Ovis aries: one gene and its partner. The protein of the gene in region 1 purifies or fractionates together with the protein of each later gene. This does not show direct contact. Links are inferred from orthologs where the notes say so. Each region holds a gene or a part of one and is shown in the gene's direction. Other genes may lie near its edges.

Evidence for each region. Proteins that work in one complex are often made in the same cells at the same time.
Region 2: the proteins of PEX5 (region 1) and PECR purify together in Homo sapiens (affinity purification with mass spectrometry; 3 studies listed by BioGRID, with this or other methods). This does not show direct contact. The link is inferred for Ovis aries from reciprocal best matches to the Homo sapiens genes PEX5 and PECR.

Annotation. Positions count from the first base shown.
Region 1 is NC_056056.1:209,072,745-209,077,964, reverse strand, and holds part of PEX5 (peroxisomal biogenesis factor 5), read left to right. Parts: coding exon 1-48; intron 49-442; coding exon 443-553; intron 554-804; coding exon 805-897; intron 898-1,398; coding exon 1,399-1,518; intron 1,519-4,044; coding exon 4,045-4,188; intron 4,189-4,386; coding exon 4,387-4,457; intron 4,458-4,833; coding exon 4,834-5,046; intron 5,047-5,220.
Region 2 is NC_056055.1:218,077,270-218,082,489, reverse strand, and holds part of PECR (peroxisomal trans-2-enoyl-CoA reductase), read left to right. Parts: intron 1-1,184; coding exon 1,185-1,295; intron 1,296-5,220. UniProt on the Homo sapiens protein: Participates in chain elongation of fatty acids. Catalyzes the reduction of trans-2-enoyl-CoAs of varying chain lengths from 6:1 to 16:1, having maximum activity with 10:1 CoA. Has no 2,4-dienoyl-CoA reductase activity.

The DNA of each region.
Region 1 (5,220 bases):
AGTGACTTTGTGGCCAAGGTGGATGACCCCAAGCTGGCTAACTCTGAGGTGAGCTGCATCTCACCACCGCTGCTTCATCCAAGAAGTCAGGGGAACCCTTTCCTTACCCCCGTTTAGTTTAAACAGGAAGAGCTGGGACCCGGGGTCCAGTCCTTCCTCTCTGGGGAGCAGAGACTTAGGGCCCTGCCTCTTCCCCCGAGTCTTCTTGCCTGCACTTCCTTGCCTGCTAACCCTCTGTCCTTTCTGTGCCATCTCCCATTCTTGAGAGCCAGAGATCCCCCTCTCTTTGCTCTCCGCTTTTTCCAGGGTCCTTAGCGTATCTTGTCTGAAGCTAGAGGTGGTCCTCAAGGGGAGGGGTCAGCGCAGGCTCCTCTGGGCATGGTCGAGAGGGCGCACCTGCAAGTCCTCTCCCAAGTGGCCTGTGTGTATCTCTGTGCCCCAGTTCCTGAAATTCGTGCGGCAGATTGGCGAGGGGCAGGTGTCCCTGGAGTCCGGCGCAGGGTCAGGCCGAGCTCAGGCAGAGCAGTGGGCGGCAGAGTTTATTCAGCAGCAGGTAGGCTCCTGTCACCTCCCAGCCCCACCCCGGAGCTGCTGGTGCCCCCGGCCGTGGGCTCAGGGGTCCCAGAGGGTGAAGGGAACCTATTGCCAGCTTGTTTGGTAGCATCCAGGTCCTGAGTGGGCGGGAAAGAGATTCTGAGAATGTTCTCAGAAGTGCCCAGGTTGGTTGTGTCCAGTGGGTGTTCACTGAGTGTTTAGTGGGTAGAAAATTGGTGGTGGTGCTATGACCAGCCTGCTTTGTTACAGGGCACGTCAGAGGCCTGGGTTGACCAGTTCACAAGACCAGTAAACACGTCTGCCCTCGATATGGAGTTTGAACGAGCCAAGTCGGCCATAGAGGTGAGAACAGCTGGCGAAGTGTGACCAAGCCAGGAGGAAATGCTCCTGTGGAGAGAGTGGGTGTCCCAGCGCTAGAGATGACGGACGTTGTATTTCATAATGTTCTGGATCATCTGTGTCAGAATTACTTGGGATGGGGGGTGAGTGTGAGTGATAGTCACTCAGTCGTGTCTGACTCTTTGCAACTACATGGACTGTAGCTTGCCACACTCCTCTGTCCATGGAATTCTCCGGACAGGAATACTGGAGTGGGTTGCCATCTCCTTCGCCATGGGATGGTGTGGGTGCCTATCAAAAACACCAGTTCTTGGGCCTCCCAGACCACTGAGTCAGGATCTGGAAATAGCATCTGGGAAGAGCAGCAAAGGAAAGCTTTCCGGTGATCTGAGACACGTGGGAAAGGAAGAGCTACTGCGCGGGGAGCCCGTTGTAGTGGCACTGAGAGCGGGACGGGGCCGTCACAATGGACCTTCTTCCCTATCTGCCCTCCTTCCCTTACAGTCTGATGTCGATTTCTGGGACAAGTTGCAGGCAGAGTTGGAGGAGATGGCAAAGCGTGACGCTGAGGCCCACCCCTGGCTCTCTGACCATGATGACCTCACGTCCGCTTCCTATGACAAGGTGAGAAGTGGCTGTTTTCACGTTGCAGGGTTTCCTTCTTTTATTGTCTCTCCTTTAATCCTGAATTTGAAGGGTACCCACATTTAAATAATCATTTTATTGAGCCCCCTTCCATAAAAAGGAAGCCTGGATTACTCCCTAGCATGCAAAGTCACTTCAGTGGCGTCCAGCTCTTTGCGGCCCCATGGACTATAGCCTGCCAGGCACCTCTGTCCATGGGATTCTCCAGGCAAGAATACTGGAGTGGGTAGCCATTCCCTTCTTCAGGGGATCTTCCCGACTCAGGGATAGAACCTGTGTCTTTTAAATCTCGTGCATTGGTAGGTGGATTCTTTACCATTAGGGTCACTCCATGTTCTTCTCTAGTCATTGAAAGTATTCTTTATTCTTGGGATATAAAAGTTAATAATAATAACAATAATAAGTGACATAGTACCTGAAACAGAGGTTTGCACATGATGTGTTAAGAGCACAGAAGAAGGAGCTCTGCTTTGGAGGTTGGTTGAAAGCATTTTAAGAACATTGATAGCTCCTTGGGTAGAAAATGTTAGGTAGTAGGCCATCTCTGCCCTCCAACTTAGTATCTATTTACTTATTTGTTTAAGAAAATTAATTTATTCTTTTGGCCACGCTGCAGGGCATGTGGGATCTTAGTTCCCCGACCAGGTCCCCTGCACTGGAAGGCGGACTCTCAACCTCTGGACTGCCAAGGACGTCCCTGTTTTTAGATTCTTGAACCCTGTTTTGACATCATTGATACCTTGGGTGGGATATTGCAAAATTAGGATTAGAAGCATTGAATTAATGTTCCACAAAAATATGCTAAACTTTATTATCACATGAACAATCCGGGTTTTATCTGCCTTTTGCTGTTATTGAATTATATGTCAGTAGTAGTGTTTTTTTTTTCTGCAGATGTGGTTCTGACTCTGTCAAGGGAATTCATGGGTCTCTGAATGTAAAGCTTTTTATTCATGGTCCTTAAATTTGCAAGACTGCAGACATACCTTGAGCAGCTATTGTAGACTGTTAAAATGATGGCGAAAACTCTGTGATGGATACACTCTACTTGGTAGTGACCCTGTGTTTGCAGTATGATCCTATGAAAGTTTGAGCAGACCAGACAGTGGATCAGGCCTAATGGTTAGACTTCTTAAGCTGTAACAGTGATCCCAGGCTTATCCTGTATCTTGTAGGTTGTCACGGGCTTCCCTGGTGGCTCAGACAGTAAAGAATCTGCCTGCAAGGCAGGAGAACCAGGCTCGATGCCTGAGTAGGAAAGATCCCTGGAGAAGGGAATGGCTGCCCACTCCAACATTCTTGCCTGGAGAATCCCATGGACAGAGGAGCTTGGCGGGCTACAGTCCATGGTGTCACAGAGTCGAGCATGACTTAGTGACTGAGAAACAACAACATCCCAAGTCCATCTCCTGTATGTCGTATTTCTTAAATTTCCATTGTAATTATTTAATTTTTATCTGTCACAAATAATTTGCATCTGATGGCTTACAGTGGTTTAGAACTTTGCTGGCAGGAATTAAGCATTTCTGGTTCTTGAGCTCTTTCACAATGATAGTGAAGAAGGGCCTCATCTATGTTCTTATTTCATGGTTTTATTCTGGTTTGTCCTTAACTATATTCAGAAAGGGCCTTGTCCTGTGTTTTGTATCTTGTCTTCATTCTGGTGTGTTGTTTTGTGGTGGTGACCCCTGCTCTCCTCAAAGGAGCGTTTTGTTCCCTTGTCACAGTCACACGCTTGCTAGGAATCCAGTTTACCTAACACCTCTCTGCTGCGTGGACGGCCCCGGGACAGAACTCAGCACAACCGCATCCTAACCCCTCAAATGAGAACACCTCCACTAGCACAGGACGTGACTCTGAAGCCTTTTCTGGCCTCAGGATTTTGGAATATAGCTTTCATTTACTATCAGATACAGATTAATACTAATAACTTTTAAGAATGAAACTGGAGAATAAATTAAGTTTTTCAAAGTGGTTGAACTCATACTAATCCTGTCAGTATGCACAGGACTCTGTGAGCTGGGTGAGAGTTGCATTTGAATAGCAGAGCCTCAAACCACATTTCCTTTATATATTATCTCACTATTGCAAGATAACAAGAAAAGCCCTTTGAATAGCTAAAGAGAGCTTATCTCATACCCTAAGCAGATCCTGTTAAGAAATGTGCTCTGTCCAGTGCTGAGGAGTCAAGGATGTGGAAATATCAGCCAATAAAGACTTCCTAAAAATAAGTTTAATTGCAGTGTGGATCAGAGTTTGCCAGGCTTTCCAGCTGCTGGGAGCAGGGTAGCAGCGTGGGCTGGCTTCACTGTGGTTGTGGACAGTCTCCTTCGTGACATGAAGGGTTTGCCAGCATTTCTCCGGATCCCTTTGTGGAGGCCCTCCGCTTCCTCTCCGCCTCTTGTCTGTCCTGGTTGTCATCTCTCATTCCCACTGCTCCATAGCTGCTCCCTCTGAGATTGCTCCTTCCGAGACCGGGTCTCACCTGGCTCCTCTTCTTTGTAGGGGTACCACTTTGAGGAAGAGAACCCCCTGCGGGACCACCCCCAGCCTTTCGAGGAGGGGCTGCGGCGGCTCCAGGAGGGGGACCTGCCCAACGCTGTGCTGCTCTTCGAGGCAGCTGTGCAGCAGGACCCCAAGCACATGGAAGTGAGCGGCTCCTCCTTCTGACCTGATTAGAGAGGGCTCCGCCAGTCTGAGGGAGGCCCCGAAGTGGGTAGTGCACAAGGGTTAGGGTCTGGGTGATGGCCTGGGGTGGGGGCCTGGGAGTGAGATGGTGAGTCCATGGGGAGCCAGAGGAAGGGACAGTGACTACACGGGTGATGAAATCTGGCATCTTCTCTCTAGGCTTGGCAGTATCTGGGGACCACCCAGGCAGAGAACGAGCAAGAACTTTTAGCCATCAGTGCGCTGCGGAAGTGAGTACTCTGAAGAGAGGCACGGGTCAGGGAGGGGTGAGGTGGTCTTGCAGCTCTACAAACAGCGTTTAGAACGACAGGTCCTGGTCTTCTTTCTGGCCACTAACGAGCGTTTTTTCATGATGAAACTCTAAGGTTTGGAGTGAACTTGGGAATAATTGTCTCCATTCCCTCCCCAGCTTTTGGTTTTATTTTGGGGACCCTGGCTGATTCCTCAGCTGCTGAAATGTCCCCTTTCTCAGATCTGTGACTTTATTAATGACCCACCAGTAGGGAATTCCTCTGTATCTGGATGGAGGGAGTTGGCAGGTAACTCTCGGCTTGGATTGCAGGGTGCCGCTACTGAGACCAGCCCCGTCCCTCTCGGTCCAAACAGGTGCCTGGAGCTAAAGCCAGACAACCGGACGGCCCTGATGGCACTGGCTGTGAGCTTCACCAACGAGTCCCTGCAGCGGCAGGCCTGTGAGACCCTGCGAGACTGGCTACGCTACACCCCGGCCTATGCCCACCTGGTGGCACCTGGGGAAGAGGGGGCCGGTGGGGTGGGCCTGGGCTCCAGCAAGCGCATCCTGGGGTCCCTATTGTCCGAGTGAGTGAGGGGCTCCTGGGGTGGCTGTTGGTGACCAGGGAGAGGGAGGGCCTGGACAGTGGAAGTTGGGGTAGATTGCCGCTCAGTTCTGGGGGGTTGGGAGACTCAGGGTTGGAAGGAAGGAAGGGTGCAGGTGGACGGATGCATCGTGGGCTAGTTACGGGAGTACTGGGA
Region 2 (5,220 bases), on another chromosome or scaffold:
ATTGTTATCTGTGCTACTCAGTGGGAACTAAGCATGAGCTGACTTGTGGTTGTTAGATCTTATCTTTAACAAATGCAGGTTCCTAGCCCCTTTTAATCATTTGGGGCGGACATTACCTTTGCTGCTGCTGCTGCTGCTGCTACGTCGCTTCAGTCGTGTCCGACTCTGTGCGACCCCATAGACAGCAGCCCACCAGGCTCCCCCGTCCCTGGGATTCTCCAGGCAAGAACTTCTACCTATTCTCAAATATTTATAGGACAGATTGGATAGATTTCCATTCTGAATGTTGATTCTTTGGAATGTTGGTCTCTACATACACATTTCTGGACAACCTTTAATGATGTGTTGGTGCTGTAACCATAATACTAAAGTCACATTTGTCCTCCAGAGATGTTTTGAGGTTTAATGTCTAAACCTTAATACCTCTGGAAGATTCCATCCTTTTTAAATGAAAGCCTGAGAAATTGTTTAATCAGAAACCAGTATATCACCCCAGTATTGTTTGGAGTAATTAACACTGCCAAGTTTCTTCCTCATATTCTCATCCCTCCTGTCTTCTCCCCTCCTTCGAATAATCTTTCTAGTTATGGGCCAATAACAAGCAGCTTTATCCTGTGTTAAAACAGTTTTTAAGTAATTTTTTTCTTTGTGAACCATTGACAGCTACTAAAAGTTGAATAAAAGAATTCTTAAACATTAAAATTTTAATTTATTTATATTGGATTCAAATTTTTTGTTTGTGATTTCTTTCTAGGTAAAAAGCCATAAAAATATTGTATTTTCTGAGTCCCACTTAACCATAGGCCAGTTTTCCATCGTAAAACATAGAAGCCTTAGTGGAAGACAGAATAGACTACCCTGTCCCATTGTCCCCAGTTAAGGGCTTGTCTGATATGCTCATATGATTATGCTTTCAGAAGCCAGGTCTTTTATGAAAACATCCTGAGCTTGGCTGGTTATTAGGGGAGGGGAGGTCACAAAATGAGCATTCAGATTATCCGTTTTTAGTAGAGGTTGACTGTTTTTCTTTGACCATATTGAGAAAAATTAACATTGCACATGTGAACTTAAACCACTATTAAACCACTTAATTGTTAGTGTTGGATGACAGACTGCCTTGTTGTCTTTCCGATTAAAATTTAATTTTATGTACTTTATTTTTTCCTGTTTTATTTTAAACATAGGGAACCATTTATTCCGAGACTGCTTTTAGCAACTATGATCATTTGACAAAAGACCTGCTTAACAAGTACATTCACAAGATCCCAGCTAAAAGATTTGGATTTCCTGAGGAGGTAATGTGTATTTCCAACACTGATGAATTACTTTGTTTTATACTTTGGAGATCTGTAACATTTTAGTGTCCTTTTCACATAGTCTGATTGGTTAATAGAGAAGATTGCTCCCATGCCCTCAAACTATGTTCCCTGTGCTTTCTGGCTGCCAGGAATACTGCGCTAGTGGTGCCTTGAATCCTCACAGCAGTATTTATTCTGGCATGGATGCAGTGTCGGTTAAGAGCAGCATGTTTTTATTGTTTCATTGCACTTTTCAGCTCTTTGTTGTTTGATAGTACGCAGAATCTCAAATATGCAGATGACACCACCCTTATGGCAGAAAGTGAAGAGGAACTAAAAAGCCTCTTGATGAAAGTGAAAGAGGACAGTGAAAAAGTTGGCTTAAAGCTCAACATTAAAAGAACTAAGATGATTGCATCCAGTCCCATCACTTCATGGCAATAGATGGGGAAAGAGTGGAAACAGTGGCATTACTTTATTTTGGGGGGCTCCAGAATCACTGCAGATGGTGACTGCAGCCATGAAATTAAAAGATACTTACTCCTTGGAAGGAAAGTTATGACCAACCTACACAGCATATTAAAAAGCAGAGACATTACTTTGCCAACAAAGGTCCATCTAGTCAAGGCTGTGGTTTTTCCAGTAGTCATACATGGATGTGAGAGCTGGACTATAAAGAAAGTTGAGCACCAAAGAATTGATGCTTTTGAACTGTGGTGTTGGAGAAGACTCTTGAGAGTCCCTTGGACTGCAAGGAGATACAGTCAGTCCATCCTATAGGAGATCAGTCCTGAGTGTTCATTGGGAGGACGGATGTTGAAGCTGAAACTCCAATACTTTGGCCACCTGATGCAAAGAGGTGACTCATTAGAAAAGACCCTGATGCTGGGAAAGATTGAAGGCGGGAGGAGAGGAGGATGACAGAGGATGAGAGGGTTGGATGGCATCACCGGCTCAATGGACATGAGTTTGGGTAAACTCAGGGAGTTGGTGATGGACAAGGATGCCTGGCGTGCTGTGGTCCATGGGGTCGCAAAGAGTCAGACACGAGTGAGTGACTGAACTGAACTGAACACAGAATCTAAGGAAGTCAGACAATTATGACAAAATGAAGTTCCGTACCTGATTTCTGTAAGATGACCAGTTTTAAGTCTGTAAAAATCAATAGCTTTCTTAAATGCCAGCAAGATCAGTCTTAAAATGTAATTTTTTAAAAAAGGATATATATTCCCCAATAGGAAAAGGAGTACGTCAAGGCTGTATATTGTCACCCTGCTTATTTAACTTATATGCAGAGTACATCATGAGAAACACTGGACTGGAAGAAACACAAGCTGGAATCAAGATTGCTGGGAGAAATATCAATAACCTCAGATATGCAGATGACACCACCCTTATGGCAGAAAGTGAAGAGGAACTAAAAGCCTCTTGATGAAAGTGAAAGAGGAGAGCAAAAAAGTTGGCTTAAAGCTCAACATTCAGAAAATAAAGATCATGGCATCCGGTCCTGTCACTTCATGGGAAATAGATGGGGAAACAGTGGAAACAGTGTCAGACTTTATTTTGGGGGGCTCCAAAATCACTGCAGATGGTGACTGCAACCATGAAATTAAAAGCTTACTCCTTGGAAGAAAAGTTATGACCAACCTAGATAGTATATTCAAAAGCAGAGACATTACTTTGCCAACTAAGATCCGTCTAATCAAGGCTATGTTTTTTCCTGTGGTCGTGTATGGATGTGAGAGTTGGACTGTGAAGAAGGCTGAGCGCCGAAGAATTGATGCTTTTGAAGTGTGGTGTTGGAGAAGACTCTTGAGAGTCCCTTGGACTGCAAGGAGATCCAACCAGTCCATTCTGAAGGAGATCAGCCCTGGGATTTCTTTGGAAGGAGTGATGCTAAAGCTGAAACTCCAGTACTTTGGCCACCTCATGCGAAGAGTTGACTCATTGGAAAAGACTCTGATGCTGGGAAGAATTGGGGGCAGGAGGAGAAGGGAACAACAGAGGATGAGATGGCTGGATGGCATCACTGACTTGATGAACGTGAGTCTGAGTGAACTCCAGTAGTTGGTGATGGATGGGGAGGCCTGGCGTGCTGCAATTCATGAGGTCGCAAAGAGTCGGACATGATCGAGCAACTGAACTGAACTGAACTGAATAAGAATAAAAACTAAAAAACCCAAAGTGAACTTAACTCTAACCAAAAAAAGTTTATTACTGAAGAACAGAAAAAAACGACCAGAATAAATAGAGACATGCCATATTCCTCAATGGAGAGATTCAATTTTACTAAAACCAAGTTTCCCTAAATCACACATACACATTTAATATATCTTTGGAATTAATATATTGATTCTAAAGTTTTCCCTAGAAAAATATTTATTCCAAAATGCCCAAAATGTTTTGAATAAGAATAATGAGGGGATTTGACCTTCCTGCTGTCAAAACAAACTGTAGGGCTTCCCTGGTGGCTCAGTGGTAAGGAGTCTGTCTGCCAGTGCAGGAGACGTGGATTCCATCTCTAGTCCGGGATAATCTCACATGCTACAAGTAGCTAAACCCATGTGCCACAGTGACTGAGCCTGCGCTCTGGAGCGCAGGAGCCACAGCTGCTGAAGCCCATATGCCTTAGAGCCCTGGGCTCTGCAACCAGAGAAGTCAGTGCAGTCAGAAGCCTGCTCACCATAGCCGGAGGGTGGCCCCTGTTTGCCAAGACTAGAGAAAAACCCGCACAGCAGTGAAGACCCAGCATGGCCCAAAAGAAACAAAATTATTTAACCACCCCCTCAAAATGCATACTGTAAAGCTACAGTTGTTTCCTACATTTGGGGTTGGTGCTGGAAGAGATTAAAAGTAGTGGGATAGAATGGACTCTCATATCAGTACTGCACACACACACACGCACACACACACAGAGTTTATAGGATAAGAGTAACATTTCAAATCTACAAGGAAAGAATATTCAGCAAAAGTCTTGCAGCAGTTGAGTGTTCATTTAGAAATAAATTAGACTCACCCATCTCATATCACATACAAAATAATTTTCAGATATATTAAAATGCTAAATATAAAAGCAATTTTCTCTAAGAGAAAAATGTGTTCTAATTCCTAGAGCTAGCTTTCATTATCAGTTTGATGTATATCTTTCCAGAAATTTACTGTGTATGCTTAAAGATATTTCTGTTTACTGACTTTCTTTTTAGAAAAATGGGATTCTAAGTTTTTCTGCAACTTGCTATGGCTGTAGCATTAGACCCTGTTGCTGCACATTGAGATTTTATTAATTTTTTTATATTGTAATAATTCTGCAGTGAACATTCTTGACTATAGTCATGAACTCTTATGTGTTCTTCTCTTCTAGAAGTAGAAGTCCTGAACTAAAATAGACTTGCATATTAAATTTTAGAAGATACTGTTAAATTCAACATTTGATGAGCTATTTTGAGCAAGGTGCCAGATTTTTATTTGGAAAACTGAGAGTGATTTTGAAAGGATTTTAATCGAGGGATTTGTCTGACTAAGCTTTTATTTTAGACAGAACCCTCCTTATGTTTTCTGAACAATTGGATATTGTCTATATGCTATGCTGTGCTTAGTCGTTCAGTCGTGTTCAGCTCTTTGAGACCCCATGGACTGTAGCCTACCAGGATCCTGTGTCCATGGTCTGTAGTTACTGTATTAAAATTTGACATTGAGAAATTCAAGAAATATTTATGAATTCATTTAAAATAATCTTAATAAAATCATGGATGTTAGAGTTGGACCATAAAGAAGGCTGAGTGCCAAAGAATTGATACTTTTGAATTGTGGTGTTGGAGAAGACTCTTGAGAGTCCCTTGGGCTGCAAGGAGATCCAACCAGTCCATCCTAAAGGAAATCAATCCTGAATATTCATTGGAGGGATTGATGCTGAAGCTGAAGC